Macaca fascicularis: one gene and its partners. The protein of the gene in region 1 interacts with the protein of each later gene in a biochemical or structural test. Links are inferred from orthologs where the notes say so. Each region holds a gene or a part of one and is shown in the gene's direction. Other genes may lie near its edges. The genes, in order: NEDD4, SCN5A, RAPGEF2, MLANA, NTRK1, UBE2D1 and GABARAPL1.

Region 1 (3,500 bases):
ACCTTCTAAGAATCGAATGGAATATGCAAGTTAACCATACAACCAGTGCTGTTTTTCTATCCATTCATCTAAAACCCTATCCTAACATAATTGAAATACATTCTTCATTATAGCCAGGATGGGAAGAGAGAACTCACACAGATGGAAGAATCTTCTACATAAATCACAGTATGTGCAATGCGATTTTTCGTTATGTTATTTTTTGTAATAAATTTTATCTGTGAGAAAGTACACCATTTTTCTTTTTCTTCCCTTCAGATATAAAAAGAACACAATGGGAAGATCCTCGGTTGCAGAATGTAGCAATAACTGGACCAGTAAGTCTCTCTGTGCTGATGTGCTCTGATGGGACTGTCCCCTCACCTGTCTCTTCAAAAGCAGATACTCAAGGGCATAACCCTACAGGCATTGAGAGGAAAGCACATTGGCCATTCTGTCTCCTCTCCCCCATTTCCCATACTCCAAGTCTCAGTTATTTGAAAAGATTCTATGACGTCATTATCTTTACCCTATGCAATAGCAGTGGGAGACAGGTGAGCCAGACAGTCGGAATGCTAAGGCAGTGTGGGCTGCTGAGCTCAGGTGGGTGCCTGCCACTGTCTGAACAAGAATGTTGACAGTCCTCCACAAATCAGAGAGGAGCAGAGAGTGTATCCAGATGAGGAAGCAGCAGCACCCTATCCACTCCAGGGTCATTCTTAAATTTTTTTATAGAAATCAGGCCAGGCTCACACCTGTAATCCCAGCACTTTGGGGGAGGCCAAGGCAGGTGGATCACCTGAGGTCAGGAGTTCAAGACTGGCCTGGCCAATATGGTGAAACCCTGTCTCTACTAAAAATGCAAAAAATATTAGTTAGGCATGGTAGCAGACACCTGTAGTCCCAGCTACTTGGGAGGCCAAGGCAGGAGAATCACCTGAACCCAGGAGGCGGAGGTTGCGGTGAACTGAGAGATTGCACCACCACATTCTAGCCTGGGTGACAGAGCGAGACTCCATCTCAAAAAAAAGAAAAAGAAATCATTGTAAATGCCCAGTATGTAAGACACATCCACACTTAAGTACAAATATACCATATATGATAACTGTAGTCAGATAGGAAAATTATTATCCTTTTTTATAGCTGCTTCTTCCATTTTATTCAGATTTTGTTTTGTAATTCATAAAAATAAAACTGAAGATACCTTTTTTTTAATTACTATTTACTATCTCAACATGTAGTCCTTTAATGGCTCAAAAAGGCAATTCCTTGGAGTTCAAGGAAAAAGTACGCTTTTCACATTGCCTGTTTAATGGAGAAATCACTTTGAAAGTCTCTTTAGAAATGGAAATTTTTGTTTCTAGTATTTCTCTACCTGGAAGAAATTTCCTATTTCTGGCATGCTGCATTTTGAGAATATTGCATAATGAAAATTACAGCCATAGGAATTGCTGAATATAATTTTGTCTTAAACAGAGAAATTAAATATTTTAAAGTTTTGTATTTGTTTTTCTTCTAATTAAACTTTTCTTTCCAAATATTTTTCTTTTCATGCCCTTAACTTATGTTCATAAAATACCCTGCCGGGAACTTTAAAAATTGTTCCAGAATAAAAACAACCTAAACTTCTTTATTTTTCCAAAATTTCCCACTAAAGGCAGTGCCCTACTCCAGGGATTACAAAAGAAAGTATGAGTTCTTCCGAAGAAAGTTGAAGAAGCAGGTTAGTGATGTTTGTGATAAATACTTGAGTCATCAATATATAGATGGAAAGTAATGGGAAATTTTGTTTAAAGTAATAATTTGTTCTATATTTGTAACAACTTTGAGTGAACAGTTTTTCATAGAGAAAGGATGGTTATTTTTTGTGTAGCTGTGATATATCACTACAGACCACTGATTATTTTATGTCTTTATTTTGTAAGATATTTTATAATATAGAAAAATGGCATTTAAAGTTTGCTTTCCAGAGCTCTAACCTGATGTATCCTTGTGGGGTTTATGGGGCTTGATCTTTGTAGAACCTGAGCAAGAGTGGCTCAGGAAATTATCTTCTGGCATAGTCTTTGACTCTGTTGGAGGAGTCTGGATTTGTTTTATGACTTTGTTGTTTTCTAGCGGTAGTCATTCATTCTCTACACCTTCAAATGTAATGTCTCTGCATAATTTAAAAATACAATCATGAGTGGAACTGTGCTCTTGTGACTTGTCTCCGTATGCTTATCAGTTATGTTCAGTACACTTTTTCCCATCACCACAAATGCAATATGTTTGGAACTAAACTCATCATCTGGCCATCTATTTCATTTCTGTTGGTGTCTGCTAGTTTTAGTGCCTCTTACTTGCTCATCCTGTCCTCCTCTGCCTGCAGTTTAGGAATACTACCACTAGGTGGCCATATTGGGTTATACTTTCTTGCATTCTAAGCCAGAAGCTGGCTTTCACAAAGATTCAAGATGGTGGGTCGGCTACCTCCGATTTTCACCCAGATTTTTAACAAAAATAAAACATGATAGTTTTTTTAGTGTAAACATTTTATGCCCTAATAAAATCCTTAAATATCATCAACTTTCTAAACTCATTTTTAAAGATAATTTTGTGGGCCAGGCGCAGTGGCTCACACCTGTAATCCCAGCGCTTCGGGAGGTTGAGGCGGGTGGATCACTTGAGGTCAGGAGTTCCAGACCAGCCTGGCCAACACGGTCAGACCCCCGTCTCTACTAAAAATACAAAAATTAGCTGGGTGTGATGTTACCCGCCTGTAATCCTGGCTACTCGGGAGGCTGAGGCAGGAGAACCGCTTGAACCAGGTAGGCAGAGGTTGCAGTGAGCTCAGATCACTTCACTGCACTCCAGCCTGGGCAACAGAGTGAGACCCTGTCTCAAAGAAAAAGAAAAAAGAAAAGATAACATTGTGTCAAAATTTCCCTGGAAATTTGTTTTCTACTTCTAGACTTTGGGATTTTAAATATTTGCTGATTCATTGTTCTGGTAAATATTTTCATTCTTAATGAGAATATGCTGGAGGAATAGAAGCACTAGCTTCTCCATTTGCCACTCTAAGTGGTTGAAACATGTTGTAGTATCTAATTGTTAATGTCTTCCAGGCGGCAGGAGATGGGAGGCAATGCCATTACAGGCCACAAAATACAAAAAAAAAAAAAAGATAAAAGCAATTATATTTGTTGATCTCTCACTGCATACCAGGCATTCTTCTTAGAAGTTTACATATGTTATTCATTTAATGTCTACAATAACTCTGTAAGGAAGGGACTACTATTACATTTCACAGATGAGGAAACTGAGGCACAGAGAATAGGTAATGTGATCAAGTCCCATGGTTATTAAGTAGAAAAGCTAAGTGGTCTAGCTCCAGATCCCATGTTCCTAAGCAACATGACATATCATATTGGTGACTAAGAGAATTAAGAGAGAAATTAATTAATTTGTATGGAAATTACCCAGAATGCAACAAAGGTAGGTAAAGGAATAAACATATAAAAGAAAGGGTAAAGACATGA
Region 2 (3,500 bases), on another chromosome or scaffold:
ACAGAATGGATGCCCCTAGCCAGCCCTCTGCCTCCACCCCCCACCCCTCCCCATGTGACCCCCGAGACCCCAGCCTGTCTGATCTCCCTGTGTGATTTCTCCCTCACAGTATGAAGAGCAGCCCCAGTGGGAATACAACCTCTACATGTACATCTATTTTGTCATTTTCATCATCTTCGGGTCTTTCTTCACCCTGAACCTCTTTATCGGTGTCATCATTGACAACTTCAACCAACAGAAGAAAAAGATATGTAGAGCACCAGCTCCCCGCTGGGCTGGGCAGAGCAGGGCTGGGTGCCAGGGGATTGAGGGGCCATTCGGGCTCCGGGCCCCATCTCACCTTCCCTGCTGGGGATGGTTCTCTTCTTGCTGCTGCTGGAATGAGGTGGGGAGAAGGGTGTGTCCAGGGATGTAACATGTCTAGGCCTGTAAGAACATAAGAAGGGGCTTTGGTGGGAGGCCCCATGTCTGCCCTAATCCACCTGAGAGATGAGACTCCTGGGAGAAGCTGGTGTGAGAGCTGCATCTGTTCACCTGGTCCATGATCAGAGGTCATGGGTAAAGCCTGTGCAGAGGCCCTGGGTCTTCCCAGAGCTTCATCAGAGCGGCTATAACTGGGTTGTAGACAAACTAAGTGAACAGAGAGAACATGAAGGCTGGTTGAGCTAGGAGGGGGAAAGGGCGGGGGGTGGATACTGGATTTGCAGGTCATAAAGCCAGAGAGATCTCAAGGTGAAAGGGGACAGGGCTCCTGGATAAATAGATTTGGGGAAGAATCTGTGGTGCAAAATAGGGACATATTTTGTCCAGGAGAGGAAGCCAGGAGGTGGTTGACCCTGGCATCCTCATCAAGGAGGCAAGATCCTGGTGCCCTCCATGCTGGGGCCTCTGAGAACCCCAGAATGAGGTTGGTGCCTTCTCTCTGCACTTAGGGGGCCAGGACATCTTCATGACAGAGGAGCAGAAGAAGTACTACAATGCCATGAAGAAGCTGGGCTCCAAGAAGCCCCAGAAGCCCATCCCACGGCCCTTGGTGAGCTAAGCTCCTGGTTCTGTGGGAGTGGGGAGGATCTTCTGGGGTCCCTGGGAAGCTTTCATGCCACACGGCCAGCCATCAGGGCCACCTCACAGTCTTTCAGCCCAGCCTGAGGGACGCTATCAGATGTCTGAGCATGAAGAGAGGTCCCAGCCTCATACAGATAGGGAGGAAGGTATGAGAAGGATGTAGCATCCCGGGACACTCTCCTCCCACAGGAACCCTCTGTCTCTGAGCAGGTCTCCTCCTTCCCCTCAAGGATGCAGGCTTTCCTCGGGAAAAGCAGGGCAGCCTTCACAGCCCCACCCCACCCCACTCAGAGCCTCATCCTTGGACCCCCAGAACAGTCAGGGAGCCGGATTCCTGAGTTAGCTGGTGGGGAGAGCCAAGAGCTCTGGAGAGTGGGGTCCTCTCAAAGACTGACTCCCTTGGCCCAATCAAGCCATTATCCAAAAAAATGTGTGTGTGTGTGTGTGTGTGTGTGTGTGTGTGTGTGTGTGTGTGTGTGTTTGTTTATAATATTTTCTAAGTGGGAGAACAGAAAAAAAAATGTGTATATATATATATATAAAAAATCTTATTTATTTCCCCAAATAATCTGGGCTGATTTACAATTAAAGACACATGTAAATATGGTTAGTACAATAAATAAATTACATTAAAAAGTAGAGAAAATATATTAATCTAAGCACTGACATAATTACTAGGGTTGAAGTTGAAATTTACCCTTGAGCCTTCAGACTGTGGCAACTGAAAGGGAAGCACAGTGAACAGTATGCTAAGGATGCTCAGGGCAGGAAAAATCTCCCCCTGAAGATCCATCATGGAAGTCCTCATGGAAGATGGAGCCTTGGAGCTGGGCCTTGAAGCCCAGGAAGCATTTCAGCAGGAGAGCCAATGGCTTTAACCTCCAGGAGTTTTTCCTCTGCACTCTCTGTGGCAGTGTGGCAGGGGTTTTGGGCTCACTAGAGGGAGAGTGGGAGGGTGGGTGGCCTGGGATGAGAGGCAGAAACGGGCATTTGCCAGCCTCCCAAGGGCCCTGCTGAGCGCTTTCCATTTGCCTCTCCTTTCAGAACAAGTACCAGGGCTTCATATTCGACATTGTGACCAAGCAGGCCTTTGATGTCACCATCATGTTTCTGATCTGCTTGAATATGGTGACCATGATGGTGGAGACAGATGACCAAAGTCCTGAGAAAATCAACATCTTGGCCAAGATCAACCTGCTCTTTGTGGCCATCTTCACAGGCGAGTGTATTGTCAAGCTGGCTGCCCTGCGCCACTATTACTTCACCAACAGCTGGAATATCTTCGACTTCGTGGTTGTCATCCTCTCCATCGTGGGTGGGTATACAAGTCAGCTGGACAGAAGCCCTCCCCAGCCAGGCCTCTCGTCCGGCCCCTGAGTCTCTGCTGAATGCCACGTACAACCCTAGGTTCTTTCATTCTTTTTTCAGTGCATTTCTCACCCCCCTCCCCTCATACATACATGCACACACACACCTCTCCAGAGAGAACTTATCTGGAAGGGTCCACTTGGGTCAAGGAGACCAACCTGGCAGAGGACCCAGCACTCCCTCCTGGCCCCACCCTCCAGAGGACCTGGGAACACAGTTCTCTAACTGCTTAGATAGCTTCAAGGATGAGTCTGGGAATGGGAGTGGGTGCTGTGGAGGCTAGTTCTGCCCGCACTTAGGTTGAAGGAGAAGGAAGCTCACTAAGGATGAGGTGGGTCCCCAAGGATGGGGAGTAGGTGGCCCTCCAGAGTAGAAGTTATCCCTGAAGATGGAAAATTCTGGAGCTAACCGCCAAGGTGTATGCCAGACTCTTTCAGACATACCTGCCTCATGCAATTCACCCAGTCAATTCAGCACTAAAGGAGGGAGATTGTACAGCTAGGGAGAAGCAGAGACCCAATCCTGACCCATGTCTGTTTGACCTCAGAGCTCAGATCTTTTTTTTTATATGACAGCTTTCCTGAGACATAATTCACATGCCATAAAATTCATGGTTAACTTTAAAGTCACTTTAAAGTATACATTTCAGTGTTTTTTAGTATATGCACAGAGCTTTGCAACCATCACCACTATCTAATTTTAGAATATTTTCCTTTCCCCAAAGGAAACTCTACCCATTTAATAGTCACTCCCCATTCATTTCCCCTCTCCCTCAGCCCCTGAAAGCCTCTTATCTAAAATTTTGAGGGACCACCAAACTGTTTTTCAATTTGGCTGCACCTTTTTACATTCTTACTGTCAATGTATGAGGATTCCGATTATTTCGCCCTCACCAACACTTGTTATTGCCTGCATTCTTTTTATGGGAGCCCTCCTAGTGGGTGTGAAGTGATATCTCCTTGAGGTTTTGATTTGCAAAACCAAATGACTGATGACTAACGATGCAGGACATCTTTCCATGTGTGTGTTGGTCATTTATATATCTTCCTTGGAGAAATCTCTATTCA
Region 3 (3,500 bases), on another chromosome or scaffold:
GAACATTGTAGTTAATTTTATTTAAATATATATATAATATCCTCTTTAGGGGAAGTAATCTTAATGTTGCAAATCTTAATGATTATAGCTGTGTATTCTTGCATGAGCTTTTATATGTAATTATTATTTTCTGGCATCTGTGAGAGAACTGCCTTAAATGCTCTATAGAGGTGAAAAGTAGAATTTCCTAGTTCGAACTGAACAGGTGCCAAACATATATTTTTATATGTATATTATGTATAATTTTCTTTTAACTAAATTTTTTTAATCTATATTATTCTATATTCCTGTGTAACAGTTTACTCACTGGAATGAAGCATGTGACCTTTTGAACATAGAATATTAATATCAGTCTTGGCACGTTTTAAATAGATAAAGTACTCCCATGCTAGAGTGAGCTGCATATCTACCTTTTCATCTTCCAGGTCTCTCAGCCAGGGTAGTACAAACGCAACAGTGCTAGATGTTGCTCAGACAGGTGGTCATAAAAAGCGGGTACGTCGTAGTTCCTTTCTCAATGCCAAAAAGCTTTATGAAGATGCCCAAATGGCTCGAAAAGTGAAGCAGTACCTTTCCAATTTGGAGCTAGAAATGGACGAGGAGAGTCTTCAGACATTATCTCTGCAGTGTGAGCCAGCAACCAACACATGTGAGTTTTTCCTTAAAGTGGCTGCCGACTTTGGCTAGAATGCAGATTTGTTTCCTGTACAGTGATATGGGCAGTGACAAAATAAGGCTTAGTGCAGAGGGGGAGCTGGCAATCATGAGATATACTAGTCCTTCCCTTGAATGCTAATATTGAATACTGGATAGCACTGTGCGCGGCCAGGCCCTCAGGTCAGCTGGGTTAGTGTGTGGAGGATGACACTGTCCACATCTAGGGCAACCCGTTGCTTTAGTTTCACCTGGACACAGCCAGTACACATGCAAGGGGCGCATATGTAGATATGGCTCCCAATTATGTGTCTTGTGTTCTCAGAAAGGTGCCCCCAAATTATGGGCACCCTGAGGGGAGTTGGGGCATGAAGTTGAGTGTGCTGGCTGCCTTTTAACCACTAGCCCAGACAACACCCAACAAGAAATTCACCTACCAGTTAGAGCAATAATTCTGCTCCACAATGAACTACAATAGCCATTAAAAATCGGGTTAGTCTATAAATGGGGCAGTTTTTTTTTTCTAAATCTGCATCTTGACAAAGGCATTTTCCATTCAATACACTCCTGTGTCTTTTATGTGCAGATTTGAAGATGTCTGCTATAGGATTTAGTTTAGATAGGTGATTTGAGAAGATTTGGATTATTAGATTTACCCAGGACACTGTAGAAGCACTGTGTCATGGTGAAGAGCTTGTCCTCTGGAGTCAGAGTGGTCTGAGTTCAAATCCTGTTTGCCTCCTCTTACTAGCAATGCAGCCTTAGGCAAGTTACTTGACCTCCCTAATCCTTAGCTTCCAGGTGTGTATAAGGGAGGAAGCATACATATGTCATTGAGTTTTGCATATTAAGATACTACATGCACAATATTTAATTGTCCTAAATTGCTTTGCCATTTATCTACCACAAAATATATACTCAGTATAATACTCAAGCATTTTTGGCTACTGTTTGCTTGCATAGATAATTCTACCTCCTAGGAATGTGGTAGTAAATAGATTGCAGTTGGCAGCATTTATTAAATAAAAACTTAGTGCATATACTTGTCAACCAATTTGGAACACCATTTTAGAAAAATAGTGTCTGATGACTTGTCTGTTGTAGTTTTTATCATGTATTTGTGTCTTTCATATACATGGATATAACATATTGAACTACCCACATTTTTCTATATTTGTAATGGGGTGTTTAATAGTATAATCATCTTTTGAGATTGCTGACTTCATAAAGTAGATACCTTTGTCCTGCCACATACCTAATATTTTCTGTAACTAGGGTCCCCCATATCCATTTCTGTGCTTCATAAAGGCAGCAGGACGAAAGGTGTGCCTTTTAGTATTCTAACTGCAGAAAATGCTCACACAGTTCTAAAATTATCTTCTACATAGCTACTAGCATCTAAAATTCTTTGTTCTATTTTCAAACCCAAACAATTACCAGTGCCTAAGAATCCTGGTGACAAAAAGCCTGTCAAATCCGAGACCTCTCCGGTAGCTCCAAGGGCAGGGTCACAGCAGAAAGCTCAGTCCCTGCCACAGCCCCAGCAGCAGCCACCACCAGCACATAAAATCAACCAGGGACTGCAGGTTCCCGCCGTGTCCCTTTATCCTTCACGGAAGAAAGTGCCCGTAAAGGATCTCCCACCTTTTGGTAAGTGATTACATTCGTTTCTTTTTTTGGTGCCATTCACTCTCATGGTTTGCAAATTAGGAAAAAAATATTTGTCTTGGATAACTTTGTCTAATATATTTGAGTTTCTGTGTTAATTATTAGCTCCTAATAAAACCTGAACATTGAGCAAGTTAAACCTGACTTTGCCAATGGAAGGGGTTGTTTTTATAAGTAATATCTCATTTAATCACGCTAATTTGCTACGACAGGGTGTTAATAGAGAGTTATGTGTCCATTTAATTTTTGCTGAGTGCAGAAGATGCTTTGTTCATTTACATTATTTAAACTGGTTTTGCCTTACAACCAACGAACTGCTGGGATTTAAGCAGAATATTTTTAAGTTAAATGAATTGTCTGAAGGTAAATTCTTATTTGTTGACTCACTGATTCTATAGCTTAGGGGGAAAAATAAAGCAACTAACTCCTGAGTATGGAGGAGTTAAATTACACTTTATCTTTCCTACGAAAAGAAAAACATCTAGTAGTTTAGCCCCTTTGTGGAAGTGGTACAACACAATAATTTTTCATAAAATGCACAGCTTGTTTTTTTCTACGTATATGTGAATGAAATAATTGATAAAAAATAAATTATTAAAAATAAAGGGACAGTAGGGTGGGCGCGGTAGCTCACGCCTGTAATCCCAGCACTTCAGGAGGCTGAGGCAGGTGGATCACTTGAGGCCAGGAGTTAGAGACCAACTTGCCCAACGTGGCAAAACCCCGTCTTTACGAAAAATACAAAACGTAGCTGGGCATGATGGTGCATGCCTGCAGTCCTAGCTACCTGGGAAGCTAAGGCACAAGAATTGCTTGAACCTGGGGGGTGGAAATTGTAGTGAGCCGAGATTGCATCATTGCACTCCAACCTGGGCGACAGAGCAAGACTCTGTCGATCGATCGATCAATAGATAGATAGAAGGGAAAGAGTTTACTTAGATAACATTGGGTGTTGATAGCTACGTCCCTGCACAGTTACAGCCCATCTGTATGGCTGGGGTGAGAGTCATTTATTTCATAGACCTCTCACATGTTCTCTGTCCTCACCTCACATCTGATCAGCAAATGTCCTCTTTATTGATATTGGGGGGGAGAGTAAGAAAAGAACACCTTTCCTTGATACGTTTCTCCTTTCAAATATTTGTGTTGATCCCCTCATCACAAACACATTGAATTAT
Region 4 (4,029 bases), on another chromosome or scaffold:
TTAATAAAGATGTATTTGAGGCTGGGTGCGGTGGCTCATACCTCTAATCCCAGCACTTTGGGAGGCTGAGGCAGGTGGATCATGAGGTCAGGAGATCAAGACCATCCTGGCCAACATGGTGAAACCCCGTCTCTACTAAAAATACAAAAATTTGCCAGGCGTGGTGGCATACATCTGTGGTCCCAACTACTCAGGAGGCTGAGGCAGGAGAATTGCTTGAACCTGGGAAGCGGAGGTTGCAGTTAGCTGAGACCCCACCACTGCACTCCAGCCTGGGCGACAAAGCGAGACTCAATCTCAATAAATAAATAAATAAATAAATAAATAAATAAATAAATGAATAAATGTGTTTGAGCCTAGTTATAATGATTTAAAATTCATGATCCGAAACCACAATTACTTTTGCACCAACCTAAGAGATGTCTAAGTAGGTCATATTCCACCTGCAAAGAGAAAATTCCATCTATCCCTTGCAGATGCATGGAAACTCACTGTCTCCAGTGGACAGTTAACTCCAAGGGCATCACAGAGAACTCATGGAGCTCAGCTGAGGAGGTTTCAGGGATTTTTCTATTTCCTTTTCTTCATCATGAGAGTCTGGTACTAGATGCTCTCCAGACCTGAGCCTAAAGACTCTTCAATCCTTTGAGATGAAGATGAGGGAGGGAATAGGAAACCCAGTTTAGTTTGGATTTCAGATCCTTTTGTGGTTCATACGTGTGATGATTAGGTTTCCATGTTCATGTGTGAGATCTGCCTCCCTCAAACCGTGTTACAATGACATGGGCGCCTTACCTAGCTGACATGAAAAAAGCAAATGTGGATTTCAGACAAACAAAAAATAACTTTTTTAGTTTATGTCCCATAGAATATGTGGACATATTTATCCTAAAAATATTGTATGGGACATAGTTGTATTAAGAAACTGTTCATTGTTTATCTGAAGTTCAAATTTAACTGGGTATCCTTTATTTTATGTGATGTGGCAGTCTTATGGAGGAGGGGCCAACATTTAAAATAAATGGCTTCCCTAGGATAGAGCACTGGGACTGGGGAAAACAGAGGCCGCAGTCAGCTGTGACTTTTTGAAGGAAGGAATGAAGTTGGTTTCTTTCATGCCAATTAAGCAATTACAGACGACCCTCTCAGAAATCTAAACCTGTGACTATCATGGGACTCAAGACCAGGAAAAAAAATAAGTCAAAAAGATTAAGAGCCAGAGAAGCAGTCTTCACACATGCGGCCAGCCAGCGGACGGAGTACTCTCTCATTCAGGAAGGTAAGAGCATTGCCCTCTTGCTATAATCATAGTCCTTTTCTCCTTTTCTCCCAGAATAGGATTTGGGAAATTCTGGTGAAGTCCTCTGCCTACCCTCATTGCCCCACTGATGTGTGACGTCAACAGAATTTCTCTGCAACGTTTGTCAGTCTCCAACTTCAGAGGGCTCACAAAGTCTCCTCCTGAATCCTCTCTCAGTCCTCTAAGACTACCAAGAAGAAAAGCAATTATTCAGGATGGCAGCTTGCCGGGGAGAAGCAGCCTCCCTGAGGTAGATGTGTTCTCCTGTCACTTAAAGAACCACTTCTTCTGGTCTGAGTAGTAAGAGGCGCGTTTGCTGTTGCTAAACCATTTGCCAAGGTTCTGAGCTTGAGGTATGGGATGTATGAAAACAATTTAATGAAGAATTAAGTTTCCATTCTGTCATTTTGAACACAGGGTTCACTCCTATATTATTTACTTGAGAGGATCAGTGAGTTTGACTTTAATTTCTTTTTTTACAACTGGGAAGGGTAAATTACACATAAAATGTCCCAGTGGAAAGGGGTCATGTGGTGAAATCCCCACTCTTCTCTCCCACCCCTCCCTGCTGTTTTAAACTGGAGCTCATTAATATAATTCTATGGGGATCAGACCTTTGAAATTCCTGAGAACAGTAAGAGAGCAGAAAAATACACAATAACAAGGAAAGGAGCTTCCATTATTGGTTTTTAATGAGCATACTTGAATTACGGCCACTGCAGTTTATGGACAGTTTTTGTTGTTGTTCATTTGTATATGTTCTAGTTAAAAAAAAAAAAATGCTAGCCAAGGGACTTGAATCAGAGAGAAGCAGAAATTGACTTAAGTAGAAAGGGAAACACATTGTTAGATAAAGTCAGGTCCTGGGCTTCCTCAGCTTGTTTTGGGTGGAGTGCCTGGTGACAAGCTGAAGCCCCTGTGTGGGGTGGTTTCCTTTGCTGAAAAGCTGGGCTGGAAGATGCTGTGCTCAGCGTTCAACCTCATGCACCCTCGCAAGGCACAGGCAACAGGTGCTCTGGGAAACATACATTATGTATCATAGCCTCTGTCTGTCTGTGGACTGATATCCAATAATAACTTTGGAGAAAAATAACTCCTCTTATTTTATTAGCCACAGCCCTGGGCCAGGGAAGGTGGAGAATCAGTAAAAATGCATTGTTTGTTTGTTTCTCTAGAAGTTTATGGTGCAGAGTCAAATTGAAGGCACATGAAGAACATTTTTTTCACCAAATAATAACTGAGTCTTTTTGCTTTCATTTGTAGTTTCTTCTTTGAACTTTAGTTAGTAGGAGGGGTTAGAAACCTGAGCTATTGTCAAAGCCCTTGATATCAATGAAAGAAGCAGGTGCAAATCTCCTCACAGAGAGAAACCAAAGGGTCCTGACTGTGGATATTGGTCATCTAGTAAGGATGCTGTTGTGGGTCTTTATGAGACGATGAACAGGGTGGCTTTGGATGCATTAATGATGCCCACATGCTTCTTCTGTTAGGTGTCCTGTGCCCTGACCCTACAAGATGCCAAGAGAAGATGCTCACTTCATCTATGGTTACCCCAAGAAGGGGCACGGCCACTCTTACATCACAGCTGAAGAGTAAGTTCAAAACCAGACCCAGCAGGGCTTCCAGTTTGCCATTTGCTGACACAGCCTGCTGACTTCCACCAGCACATGCCTGCTCATAAATCTCCCTAGTGTTTATCTCCCCAGACAGTAACATCCCTGGCAACAAGGGGAGGAGATTCTGTGCTTCTACAAGGGGCTCAGTCAAGCTTCTCTGAGGCCAAATAGGCAGGAAGATGGGAATGGTATAAGGTTGGATCTTGCCATTTTTGGGTGCACTTTGACTATTGGGCCTTATCTGTAGGTTCCCAAGTGGAAAAACATCTGTTCAGAGTCACAATGCCTCTTTCCTCAATCCTTGTTCTGTCTCCTCCACTCAAGCTCCTGAAGGTGGTTTGCAGACAGAATAAAAGTGAGTTGCCAAGGAGCCAGTGAGGATGATGGGCAGGTGCATGTGACTCAGCCCACAGCCAGACTCGAGAGGAAGACTGAAGTCACAGCCTTTGCAGCATAACTTTATCCTAAGGAAAGGTGTTGGATATTATGAGTGAATTAAAAATAACTATTTATATGATTAAGCATTTCTAAATGCTAAGCATTGTATACTGGCCTGAGATACTGTTTTTATCTTTGAAAAAACTCACAACCTAGTGGGAGAGTTAGGCATGAAATTAATTTCAGCAAATATAAGTGTGGTGATGAAAACCCAGAGGCTGCAGGGACATACTCTGTACGTGCTGGGAGTGGGAAAGGGACATACTCTGTACATGCTGGGAGTGGGAAAGGGACATACTCTGTACGTGCTGGGAGTGGGAAAGGGGCATACTCTGTACGTGCTGGGCGGCGGGGGCAGGGGAGGCCCCACCCTCTGTGTGGGACTCCAACAGGACAATACCCTCTTATGTGGTCTGTCCAGAACTCCCTGCGAACCTGCTCTTTCTTTGGAAAGAGCTGTTGAACCATCTTTAACAGTCAACCGCAGGGACCAGCAAGATGTAAGACCCAACAAAGGTACTGAGGAAGAATTCGGCATTTCCTCAGAAGACCCTGGTATAGGATCCTCTAATATCCCTGGCCAGTTGGAGTTGAGGGCAGCGGTATCTTCTCAGAAAATGTCCTGAGAGCAAAAATATACTCTTTAAGGGAGGGGAGCCCATTGGCCATGGTATT
Region 5 (3,500 bases), on another chromosome or scaffold:
AGGCATGCCTGATATAAAAGCAGAACAACAATGTGAGAATGGACTTATGTGTGTGCACGTGAGAGATGGATGTGAGCTTTGTTTCTGTGTGTCCATGTGTGAGCCTCTTCCTGAAGGCACATGTGCATGTGCATGGCGTCATCTGTGCAGATGCTTATGCCTCTGCGTGTGTGCATGTGCATACTGGGTGTGTGCATGTGTGCAAGAGGTATGTGAGAGTGTGCATATGTGTGAGTGTCTGGGGATCTATACATGTGTGCGCTTGTGTGTTCATGCACACACATGCATGTGCATATGTATGCATTCGTATGTGCATGCCATGTAAGTGTGTATGCAGGTCTGAACAGGTGCATATGCGTGTGCCTGTGATGTGCATGTGGCATGTGCCTGTGTCTTGTGAGGGAGCAGGAGGGTCGACATGGGAACTCAAGTGTGGGCCTGAGCCCTGTGACTCCCATCCCCTCTCCCCACAGCTACATCGAGAACCAGCAGCATCTGCAGCATCTGGAGCTCCGTGACCTGAGGGGCCTGGGGGAGCTGAGAAACCTGTGAGGAAAATGGGGACTGTGGGTGTGGAGCTCAGCGTGGGCCTGGGGGAGACCAGAAGGTCAGGGAGGGCTCAAGGGTCTGAGGCCCTGGGAGGACCTGAGAGGCTGAGGACTGAGGGACTGGGAGAGGTCAGGAAGCTCAGGGCTTTGAGGGGTCTAGGGTAGCTGAAGAAACAATGAGGGGCCCGAGGAGGGGTAGGAGTTCAGCACAGGGGACTGGGAGGCTGGGATGGGCAGGGAGGGCCAGGGGCCCAGAGTAGCTGAGACCTGGGGACTGATCCTCCTGCACCCCTCCCCAGCACCATCGTGAAGAGTGGTCTCCGTTTCGTGGCGCCAGATGCCTTCCATTTCACTCCTCGGCTCAGTCGCCTGTGAGTGTGGCCAGTGCTGGGCAGTGGGGATTGGGGAGGACACCCAGACTTGCACTGCTAATGGGCTTGGCTCTCCCCGGGGAATGATTGCGAGGGGCCCAAGCCTGGTCAGGGAAGTCACCTCACCCACTCTCCTGGGGCTTCCTCCCATCTCCCTCAGGGATGGCATGCTCTTGCCCCCGCCAGCTAGAGGTCCTCCTTGCCATCTCACTTCCATGGTCCATGCTGCAAGGATACTTCTCATAGGTGCCCGCCCCATCTTTCTTCCCAGGGCTCAGATACACACCAGTGCAAAGGGAGCAAGCGTCAGGAGCAGGACTCCTGTGTTCTGGCTGGGACTCCATTTCCCAGGGACGCATTGACTTGGCTCCTAGGACATCCTGGGAGCTGGGGTGTTAGGTCTGCCACTTGTCACCCTCCTCATTCTCGGGAGTCATAGCTATCCCTCCTGTAGAGCAGCGGACCCCAACTTTTTTGGCACCAGAGACTGGTTTCATGGAAGACAATTTTACCACAGATGGTGCGGGAGGGGAGGATGATTTCAGGATGAAACTGTTCCACCTCAGATTATGAGGCATTAGTTAGTTCTCAAAAGGAGCGCACAACCTAGATCCCTCGCATGCGCAGTAGTTCACAGAATCTAATGCTGCTGTTGATGTGACAGGAGGCGGAGCTCAGGCGGTAATGCTCACTCACTGCTGCTCACCTCACGCTATGCGGCCGGGTTCCTAACAGACCACATATTTACCCTGTTTATAGCCCCTCTTCCTTGCTGTCCCCCTCTTTTTCTTTAATTTATTTTTTAAGAGTCAGGGTCTCCCTCTGTTGCTCAGGCTGGAGAACAGTGGCACTATTTTCCCATCTGTGGCCTGAGAATTGAGGACCCCTGCTGTAGGACACAGAGGGTCATGGGATGGGCAGGAGGGACCATCAGAGTCCCTGGCAGCCCCTCCCTGGCCTTCCGAGGGTGGGAGTTCAGCTCCCCTGTCCCCCAACATGAGCAGGCGGAGAGATGGGAAGGATGGTGGGGCCGACATTCATGGAGTTATGCGGGGTCCTCTACACTCTGCTGTGTCCAGCAATTTAACAAGGCAAAATAAAGTGATGTCGTATCACCATCTATGCACCGGGGCTTCCGTTAAAAACGTGTTCAATGACACTTCACGGTACTTATGTCAATGAATCTTCACAATCAACCTGGTGAGAGAGAGAGTGTTCTTGTCCCCATTTCATAGATGAGAATTCTGAGAATCAGAGAGGTTGAGTTTCTGGACTGAGGTCACACAGCTGTAAGTGGCAGGATAGAACTTACACCCGCTCTATCTGGCTCTAGAGTGGGTTGTGTCTTTGGTCCCTATGTGGTGGTACCTCTCCAACCCAGCCACCACAAATTCTAGGTTGACTAGGAAAAGAGAGGGGTCAGGATAGGCCCCTCAGAGGCAGAGGGTCCCAGCAGCAGCAGCCTGACAAAGGGCACAGGGCACTGGGGCTCCTACATCATTTTCCGGTGTGGCCAGGCCCCCGCTGGGCTCACTTTTTCCACCCCTACAACGAGGGGGCTGGGGGTGTGGGTCCTTTCCTGCCTGACCTTTTAGTCACTGAGGAGGGCCTGAAAGGAGGAGGTGGAGGGGAACTGAGGAAGTGCGTTGAGTTCCTTGTGGTCAGGTAGGGTCAAGGGAGTGTGGCAACCTCAATCCTCCCCCTCTTCCTCTGGCCCCGTCCTGGGCTCTGTGGGGAGGGGAGCACAGATGGAGCCCTTCCCCCAGCTGTGGCCTCAGCACTTTGCCAGCTGGGGCCAAAGCAGTGGGGGAGGGAGGAGCGGCTGTTCCCTCAGATCCCCCTCCCTGGGGTCTGGAGAGGTGGCTAAGTAGGGTTAACCCTTGTTGTCCCAGGGAAAGGAGTGGGACTCAAAAAGCCCTCCACCACGCCCCCCCATCCATCCACACACACTGCCTTCCAAGGCTTGTTCTGGCTGCCTAGACTGGGGAGGGGGAGCCAGATGTCAACTTCTTTCTCGGCTCCTCCCCTCCCTCACTCTGGGTCAGAGTGAGGTCGGGTCACTCAAGGGGTCTGTCTTGCTGTGTCTCCATGCCCGTAGGAATCTCTCCTTCAATGCTCTGGAGTCTCTCTCCTGGAAAACTGTGCAGGGCCTCTCCTTACAGGAACTGTGAGTGGGGGCACTTCCAGGGACAAGAGCACCAAGTGTGTGTGTGCCTGCGTGCACTTGGGTCTGTGGGATGGCATTGGGTCACTGTGTCTGTGTGGCACTGCTGGGGGGGTCTCTTTGGGGACTATGTGCATGCCAGTGAAACCCCCATCAAAGCAGGGGCTGCAGGACCACCCGTTAAGGGGGCTACTGCCCTGGGGAGCTGGCCTGGATGACTGTGTGTGTGCTGGGCCTGGCTGAGCAGATCCCAGGCCCACTGTGTGTCCACGGCACATCTGGCAACATTCCCAGGGCACCTTGCACAGGGGTGAGTGGGGCGCAGGGGTTCATGTGTACCTGGTGGGCACTTAAGGCCTCTGGGTCACTCTGGGAGGCTGTGCCTTTCCCTCCTTGTCACCATGCTGAGAGCCCTTG
Region 6 (4,017 bases), on another chromosome or scaffold:
TTGGTGGAATAATTTGTTTTCAGTTGCATATATAACCAGTAATGGGATTGCTGGGTCAAATGGTAGTTTTGTTGTAAGTTCTTTGAGAAATCTCCAAACTGTTTTCCACGATGGCTGAACTAATTTACATTCCCACTAACAGCATATAAATGTTACCTTTTCTCCTCAGCATCACCAACATCTGTTGATGTTTTCACTTTTTTTTTTTTCCTTTTTGAGACAGAGTCTTACTCTGTCGCCCAGGCTGGAGAGCAGTGACTCCATCTCAGCTCACTGCAACCTCCGCCTCCCGGGATTAAGCGGTTCTCCTGCCTCAGTCTCCTGAGTAGCTGGGATTACAGGCGCCCACCACCATGCCCAGGTAATTTTTGTATTTTTAGTAGAGATGGGATTTCACCATGTTGGCCAGTCTGGTCTCGAACTCCCAACCTCAGGTAATCTGCCCGCCTCAGCCTCCCAAAGCCCTAGGATTACAGGCGTGAGCCACTGTGCCCGGCCAAGAAGCCAAGTTTTAATGGGTACACAAGTGCCCAGGAATTGGAGAGTGGGGAGTGTGCGTTGACTATTAGTCAGAGACTGTCAATGGAAGGGAAGGAGTCAACGATGGGAGTGAGAGCTCTGAACTCGGTGTTCGAAGCGGGTAATTTATGGGAGGGGCATACCTATGAGCAGACAATGCACTCAGACACGGAAGATCTGTGCATTGGACAGAAGAGACACCTTTTTCCTCTGCAGTAAGAACCAAGGAGGTAAGTAAGGGGTCTGATAGATATGAGTTTGTGCATGTGTGCTGGGTGAGTAATTGAGATAATTCATATATTTGAGAAAAGACAGTGAAATATTTAAAGGTAAATATAATAAAACCAGCTGTGGCACCTATTGGATAAGGAATTACTAACTGATGATTTAGAAATTCCTTTATGTGCGTTAGGAGCTCATTTGTTATCCCCATTTTACAGATGCGCAGCCCCAGGTTCAGTAACTTGCTCTAAATGAGACTGTAGAGACTAACTCCAGCACCCGGCAGCTCTCACCTTAAGCTGCCTGGCTAAGGTCAGCAGCAAGTAACCTGGCAGCGTCTGGGGGCCTGCGGCCGAGGACAGGGCTGGAACTACACTTCCCAGTATGCCAGGCGGGGCGGGGCGCGGCGGGGAGGGCGCAGGCTCCTTCCCAGAAGCAAAAGCGGAAACAAAAGAGTCTCGCCGGCCTCCCCGCCCGCACACTCGCGCACACTCGCGCTCGGGCGCAGACGGAGCAGGGACCGGCGCCCGGAGCGAGCCAGGGAGCGGCGAACCGGGGACCCACCGCGCGGAGCCAGCTGAGCTGCCAGCGAGCCCAACTCGCGAAGACTCACGCCCCCGAGCCCCGCAGCCGACCCCTGCCGGCCGGTGTCCCCACCGCGATCCCTGATCCATGGCGCTGAAGCGGATTCAGAAAGTGAGTGCCGGGGCCGGGCCTGGGGCTGCGGGGCAGCAGGGCAGCGGCGCCTGCCCACGCTGACTCGGCCAGTGGTCCCGAGAGATATGCAGGGAGAGCACGGGATGGAAGGGTGGGCCGGGGTGCGGGCAGGGAGCTGGAGGCTCGGGCCCGGCCAGCGGGCACCGGACAGGTTAGGTGGGAGCGGGGGCAGATCCCAGGCGGCCGGGGGAGCTTGAAGGCTGGGGGCCCGTGGCGCGCTCGCGCCGGGGCCGCTCCCGGAGCCCCAGGGTAGAGAGCCTCCTCCGCGTCCAGACCGCCCCGAAATCTGTGCTTCACGGTCACGGCTGGGTTTTGCCCTCCATGAGGCTAGTTTTGACCCCTGTCATGCTGTGTTTTCTCCAGGCTGTTTCTTAAGCCTGTCTCTTTTATGTTCTTGCTTACCCGGGCTCCCCGGGAGGGCACGGAAGGTGGGGTGGGCCTGCAGCCTTTCTCCGCGGAGCTGTCGGGTTGGTTCTTTCTCCTCTGCGGTTGGCTCTTGCTCAGTTGCCCGAATGGGCTGGAAAGCCCATTTGCGGCCAAGAAGCCAAGAGAAGGCTCCTGCCCCTTCTATTTTGGTGCCTCTGCTGCTGCCACTTCAGGTCACATAGCTGTAGCGAAAACATAGTTGCTGATACACAACAAGATGACCTCCTGGCTGTGATTCACGGTGAGTCAAGCCAAACAGGTTTTTTTTGCCCCTCATGGTAAACTTAGATGTAAAGTTCGAGACACAACATAAACTGTCGCAAATAGATTGTTTTGATGCTTTGACACATGGGTATAAAATGAGGAAGAAATATGTATCTTCATCCAACAACTGTTCACCCATCTCAACCCTGTGTGTGGAATTGTCTTTTTTTCACAGTATTTATTGCCACCATTTCAGAAGCGAACATCCTTCAGAATTGATATTCGGGCATTTCTTTCTGTTCATTTTTATTTCTTGTTGGTCTGTGTACTGACCCAAGTTTTAGGTTTTACAGTTACAGTTCACACTGGGAACATTGAGAATGTGTTTGTTAAATAGGGAGTGCTTTTCACTAAGTTAAGCAACAATGGTCAGTGTATTTTGTAGTTGTTTCAGAAGAAATTAATGCCCACATTTTTATCTACTTTTTTGACCAGTAGTCCATTATAGCAATAGTAAATGTTAGAGAGTGATAGTGACGTACACATTGTATTCTGACTAGCCACTAGTGGCATCTTTAGGTACAGAGGACAGCAACTTTTAGAGCCTGCCAGTTTTTTATTTTCAAATTCTAAATCTGTTGATCACCTGTTATTTTTTGTCCCATTTAAAGGTCGTCTCATTGTAAAACATACAGTTAACAATCAGCATCAGCATTTATTAAGTTATAATGTTTTCTTGTTTGAAGATAGTTCAGTTACACGTTGTTTTATATAAATATCCTAATTTTGAAGCCTCAGTCGGCCTCTTTACCATAACTTGCATACTTATTAATGACGACGTAATATTGGTTCACATTTGGATCAGAAAATGCACATCTTCCAAGGAAGTTTTCAAATTCTATTTCCTTCTTTCCTAGTTGTGAGAATTTTTCACATGATTTTGCACATACAAGAGCTTTTTAAATTATCACTGTGTTTTTTTAAGAGATGGGGATCTCAGTATGTTGCCCATGCTGGTCTTGAACTCCTGTCCTCCAGAGAGTCTGGGATTACAGGCACAAGTCACCATACCCAACTATAACAATAGCGTTTAAATGCTGTGCAATTTGTCCACAGTAAGTGGATATTCAAAGAAATATGAACATTGTTTGTAAATACCATACTTGGCAGTTCTCGTCAATCACCATGCTGAACTGGTGTATTTGATTTGTATTTATAATGTGTGTGTCCAAATCTTTTCTTTTTAGTATTTATTGGTTATTAGTTTATAGAGTTGTTCAGAAAAAAAAAATTACTTACATGGAATTGATATCAAACATGTGACAAATCGATATTTTGGAGAAGAAATTGGGATCATATACCATCACATCTCTGTGCGTTCATCTTTGGCTTCCCTTTCTGATATCAGGCAAGTTAACTTACACAAGTCTTTCCATTAATCACACATTCAGACCGTTTCCTCAAACCTTAGGGGTGATTATTTTGATTGATTCCCTATTTTTCCTCCTCCTTTATCTACCTCCTTGATTAGAAGCCAATTCTAGGTCAGTTGTGCCGCCTGCCATATGAACAGTTATACCATCTTCTTCTTTGATGTCATCAGTATAGACATTCTTATTTGAATCTTTCATGTTCCAACAAATGAAGATGTATACTAACTTTTGGCCTTTCTTCCTAAGCTCCTATTGAAGTGTTACTATAGTTTTCCTGTACCTAAAGTTGCAGACTGTAGAGCTGTGTGGAACCTCAGATAAGTCTGCCGTAGTGTACTAGAGGGTACCAGCACGGGAACAGCTTCTAGGGTAGTGTCTTAGAATCACCTGAGGGACGTTTTCAGACTGTCGTCACTTCTATAAATGGAGAGGTGTTGAATCCCTCAGATGGGTTGGGGTGGAAAGAAGACTGAGAACCACTGATGTTCTGGCCTGT
Region 7 (3,500 bases), on another chromosome or scaffold:
GGGAGGCGGAAGTGGGCAGATCACCTGAGGTCAGGAGTTTGAGACCAGACTGGCAAACATGGTGAAACCCTGTCTTCATTAAAAATACAGAAATTAGCTGGATGTGGTGACGGGCGCCTGTAATCTCAGCTACTTAGGAGGCTGAGGCTGGAGAATTGCTTGAACCTTGGAGGCAGAGATTGCAGTGAGCCGATATTGTGCCATTGCGCTCCAGCCTGGGTGACACGGTGACGCTCCGCCTCAAAAAAAAAAAAAAAAAAAAAATTCAGCTTTGTTAATTGTGATGTCAATTTGTTCCAAAAAGAAAACCAGTCTGGTTTCTTGAGAGGATTATGCTTTAGAGTTTCCTGATTACATCTTCTTAAGCTACATTTTTTTAAAAATAAGTTTTGTAGATTTTGTTTGGGATTATAAGACATATATTCAGTCTTCATCTTGAGCCTTAATGGAATACACACTGCATCCAGGAGACACTGGAAAGATTTTGTTGATTTGCTTCAGAGTTAATAGGTTTGAATATCAGCCATCTAGAAAGTTTTCAGTATTCTCAGGTAAAGGCAAAGCACTGAACCTTATTTAATGCCCCAACACTGAGTTGAGTGACTGTGCTAAGATGACCAGTGTCCAGTGGACCCCTTTCATTGCTAAGCTTTTCTTAGGGTGGGTCTGGGGATGGAAAGTGTTTCAAGTCGGGTTTAGACAATGATGGGAATGTTTTGGTCTGGATGCACGTGGTATTCCTTCAGTGTAGTCCTCAGGCTTTGAGTGGATATGCTAACATGAGGTCTGAGATTGAATAAGAGAGGAAAGGAGGAATAAAGTCCACTATGGCATATCAGGGACTGTACGGGCTTCTGAGTTTCCCTTTTTATTTTGAAAGCTCCAGGATAGTATTTGGCTCTTCTCAGGTGGTATATAAAACTGGTACTGACTCTAAGGGGAAAAAAATGCAACTGAATTTTTTTCCAGGACTTACCATTCTACTAATTCCTTGTTTTCTTCCTTTCTTGTCTGCCTTTTTCTTCCATCATCCAGTTGGCCAGTTCTACTTCTTAATCCGGAAGAGAATCCACCTGAGACCTGAGGACGCCTTATTCTTCTTTGTCAACAACACTATCCCTCCCACCAGTGCTACCATGGGCCAACTGTATGAGGTAATGGTTCTAGCCGAACAATACTGGATGCCGTCCAGGGCAGTCTGGCATCCTCTAGCTCTTGTTCTAGTATATGTTGATAACACAACTGAGAAGTGGGGCAGAAGGTGTTATTTATCCGGATCCTCTTACATATGGCAGTGTAAGGCTCTGAGAGATTAGATACCACTTGTTTTTCAGGGATTAGGCACTCTACTAGATTTAATCCTTTTGAAATCTCTTCTCAGTCTTGTCTGACTATAGTGTTTAATGTGGGATTGTTTATTGAAACAGCAGGAAGTGACTCCTGATAGCAAAAGTTCCAAAGCATCAGCCCATCGCAGTTCCTGCTCTTCTTGTTGGTAGCCTGTAATTTGTAATGCATTCAGAATCCAGTTCATTATTTTACTCCCATTTAGCAATAGATTGAGAAAGCACATAATAGTAAAGCCAGCTTCTAACTCTGAGGCCAGCCTCCGCTACAGTCAGCTTCCTCTGTGAACTCTGAAGTTTTGGCTTGAGACAAACACATTGATCTAAACAGGGGGAAACTTCTTCTTAGAACAAAACGAAAACTGTGAAACAGATTCCACATTATCTGGGCACAATGAATCAGATCAAATGAAATATAAAATTAAGGCAAAGTCTGTAAATGGATTCATTTGTCTTAACAGATAAACTGAGGAGGAATACTTTTTATGTGATTTTGTTTAATTGGAAGTGTCAGAATTTGGAGAAACTATAGTAAAGGACTTTATTATTACTAAAAATATAACCTAGGATTGTAACTATTATTTTTTGCAGTATTTTGCATAAGACGCTTCCTTCTCATTATGCCCTATTAATGGATTACATAAATTTATAATAATCCTGAATCTAACTTTTATTGCATAGCATATATTCCCTGTTAGTATCTGCCCCTTATATATCCCATCTGTGGTATCTATGTTCCCCTTGCTAGGACTGAGCTCTTTAAGAGTGAGTACTGTGCCCCAGTCATCTTCATATCCCTGATACCTATGTGTAATATGTTTTCAGTGAAGGATTTTTGTTTGTGAACTCAGAGCTCAAAGTGTAATTCCAACCACATCTCCTGATTCTTTGCTCCCCTTTTAAATGGGGATGAACGATACCTTCCATACCTGCTTTACAAGGTTGTGTGAGGCTTAGCATCTTACAGCTAATGAATGAATATGTTTTCTAAACTGTTGTCTTATCTCTTCCCCTAGGACAATCATGAGGAAGACTATTTTCTGTATGTGGCCTACAGTGATGAGAGTGTCTATGGGAAATGAGTGGTTGGAAGCCCAGCAGATGGGAGCACCTGGACTTGGGGGTAGGGGAGGGGTGTGCGTGCGACTTGGGGAAAGAGGGTGACTCCCACCGCGAGGAGACAGAAGGTGAAGACATCTAGAAACATTACACCGCACACACCGTCATCATATTTTCACATGCTCAATTGATATTTTTTGCTGCTTCCTCGGCCCAGGGAGAAAGCATGTCAGGACAGAGCTGTTGGATTGGCTTTGGTAGAGGAATACGGATGATGTAATTTCACAGCATTCCTGAGATTTAATTTTTGTGCAGTTTCATAGAAGGGTCAGGAGGTGGACAAGTTGGGGCCAGAGATGATGGTAGTCCAGCAGCAACTCCCTGTGCTCCCTTCTCTTTGGGCAGCGATTCTATTTTTGACATTTGCACAGGACAGGTAGGGAAAGGGGACTTGTGGTAGTGGACCATACCTGGGGACCAAAAGAGACCCACTGTAATTGATGCATTGTGGCCCCTGTTCTTTCCTGTCTCACACTTCTTTTCTCCCATCCCAGTTGCAGTCTCACTCAAACATCACAGTACCACCCCAGGGGTGGCAGTAGACCACAACCCAGAAATTTAGACAGCGATCTCTTACCTTTGGAAAATAGGGGTTAGACATAAAGGTGGTTATGATTAAGAAGATTGTTTTGTTATTAAATAGCATTAAACTGGAATTGACAAGACTATTGAGCATCTCTGTCTAACCTGTTCTTTCTCTCTGGTGCCCCTTATCTCACCCCTACCTTGGAATTTAAGTCTCAGGCATTTCCAGTTGTAGACTAAAACCACTCTTAGCATCTCCTCTAGTATTTTCCATGTATCAGGACAGAGATGTCTTATGTAGGGAGGGAGCAAGTGTGAAGTAAGGTAATTATATACACCTCTCATTCAGGATTCTTGCTCCCATGCTGCTGTCCCTTCAGGCTCACACGCACAGGAATGCTATGTGATGGCCAGCTGCTTCCCTCCTTGGTTATCATCCACTGCAGCTGCTAGTTAGAAAGGTTTGGAGGGATGACTTTTAGTAAATCATGGGGATTTTATTGATTTATT

The links.
Region 2: the proteins of NEDD4 (region 1) and SCN5A form a complex in vitro, tested with the Homo sapiens proteins (3 studies listed by BioGRID, with this or other methods). The link is inferred for Macaca fascicularis from reciprocal best matches to the Homo sapiens genes NEDD4 and SCN5A.
Region 3: the proteins of NEDD4 (region 1) and RAPGEF2 form a complex in vitro, tested with the Homo sapiens proteins (2 studies listed by BioGRID and IntAct). The link is inferred for Macaca fascicularis from reciprocal best matches to the Homo sapiens genes NEDD4 and RAPGEF2.
Region 4: the proteins of NEDD4 (region 1) and MLANA form a complex in vitro, tested with the Homo sapiens proteins (2 studies listed by BioGRID and IntAct, with this or other methods). The link is inferred for Macaca fascicularis from reciprocal best matches to the Homo sapiens genes NEDD4 and MLANA.
Region 5: of the proteins of NEDD4 (region 1) and NTRK1, one has a biochemical effect on the other in vitro, tested with the Homo sapiens proteins (3 studies listed by BioGRID, with this or other methods). The link is inferred for Macaca fascicularis from reciprocal best matches to the Homo sapiens genes NEDD4 and NTRK1.
Region 6: the proteins of NEDD4 (region 1) and UBE2D1 form a complex in vitro, tested with the Homo sapiens proteins (14 studies listed by BioGRID). The link is inferred for Macaca fascicularis from reciprocal best matches to the Homo sapiens genes NEDD4 and UBE2D1.
Region 7: the proteins of NEDD4 (region 1) and GABARAPL1 form a complex in vitro, tested with the Homo sapiens proteins (2 studies listed by BioGRID and IntAct). The link is inferred for Macaca fascicularis from reciprocal best matches to the Homo sapiens genes NEDD4 and GABARAPL1.

Annotation. Positions count from the first base shown.
Region 1 is NC_088381.1:32,300,887-32,304,386, reverse strand, and holds part of NEDD4 (E3 ubiquitin-protein ligase NEDD4), read left to right. Parts: intron 1-113; coding exon 114-168; intron 169-258; coding exon 259-317; intron 318-1,636; coding exon 1,637-1,702; intron 1,703-3,500. UniProt on the Homo sapiens protein: E3 ubiquitin-protein ligase which accepts ubiquitin from an E2 ubiquitin-conjugating enzyme in the form of a thioester and then directly transfers the ubiquitin to targeted substrates. Specifically ubiquitinates 'Lys-63' in target proteins.
Region 2 is NC_088376.1:100,616,734-100,620,233, reverse strand, and holds part of SCN5A (sodium channel protein type 5 subunit alpha), read left to right. Parts: intron 1-109; coding exon 110-251; intron 252-928; coding exon of another isoform or gene 929-932; coding exon 933-1,033; intron 1,034-2,109; coding exon 2,110-2,380; intron 2,381-3,500. UniProt on the Homo sapiens protein: Pore-forming subunit of Nav1.5, a voltage-gated sodium (Nav) channel that directly mediates the depolarizing phase of action potentials in excitable membranes.
Region 3 is NC_088379.1:164,243,166-164,246,665, forward strand, and holds part of RAPGEF2 (rap guanine nucleotide exchange factor 2), read left to right. Parts: intron 1-425; coding exon 426-649; intron 650-2,094; coding exon 2,095-2,304; intron 2,305-3,500. UniProt on the Homo sapiens protein: Functions as a guanine nucleotide exchange factor (GEF), which activates Rap and Ras family of small GTPases by exchanging bound GDP for free GTP in a cAMP-dependent manner.
Region 4 is NC_088389.1:93,149,924-93,153,952, reverse strand, and holds the start of MLANA (melanoma antigen recognized by T-cells 1), read left to right. Parts: upstream 1-1,229; 5' UTR 1,230-1,279; intron 1,280-2,790; 5' UTR 2,791-2,815; coding exon 2,816-2,892; intron 2,893-3,240; exon of another isoform or gene 3,241-4,029. UniProt on the Homo sapiens protein: Involved in melanosome biogenesis by ensuring the stability of GPR143. Plays a vital role in the expression, stability, trafficking, and processing of melanocyte protein PMEL, which is critical to the formation of stage II melanosomes.
Region 5 is NC_088375.1:104,208,924-104,212,423, reverse strand, and holds part of NTRK1 (high affinity nerve growth factor receptor), read left to right. Parts: intron 1-473; coding exon 474-548; intron 549-847; coding exon 848-919; intron 920-3,017; coding exon 3,018-3,086; intron 3,087-3,500. UniProt on the Homo sapiens protein: Receptor tyrosine kinase involved in the development and the maturation of the central and peripheral nervous systems through regulation of proliferation, differentiation and survival of sympathetic and nervous neurons.
Region 6 is NC_088383.1:88,326,482-88,330,498, reverse strand, and holds the start of UBE2D1 (ubiquitin-conjugating enzyme E2 D1), read left to right. Parts: upstream 1-1,217; 5' UTR 1,218-1,413; coding exon 1,414-1,437; intron 1,438-4,017.
Region 7 is NC_088385.1:10,685,472-10,688,971, reverse strand, and holds part of GABARAPL1 (gamma-aminobutyric acid receptor-associated protein-like 1), read left to right. Parts: intron 1-1,035; coding exon 1,036-1,154; intron 1,155-2,362; coding exon 2,363-2,428; 3' UTR 2,429-3,500. UniProt on the Homo sapiens protein: Ubiquitin-like modifier that increases cell-surface expression of kappa-type opioid receptor through facilitating anterograde intracellular trafficking of the receptor. Involved in formation of autophagosomal vacuoles.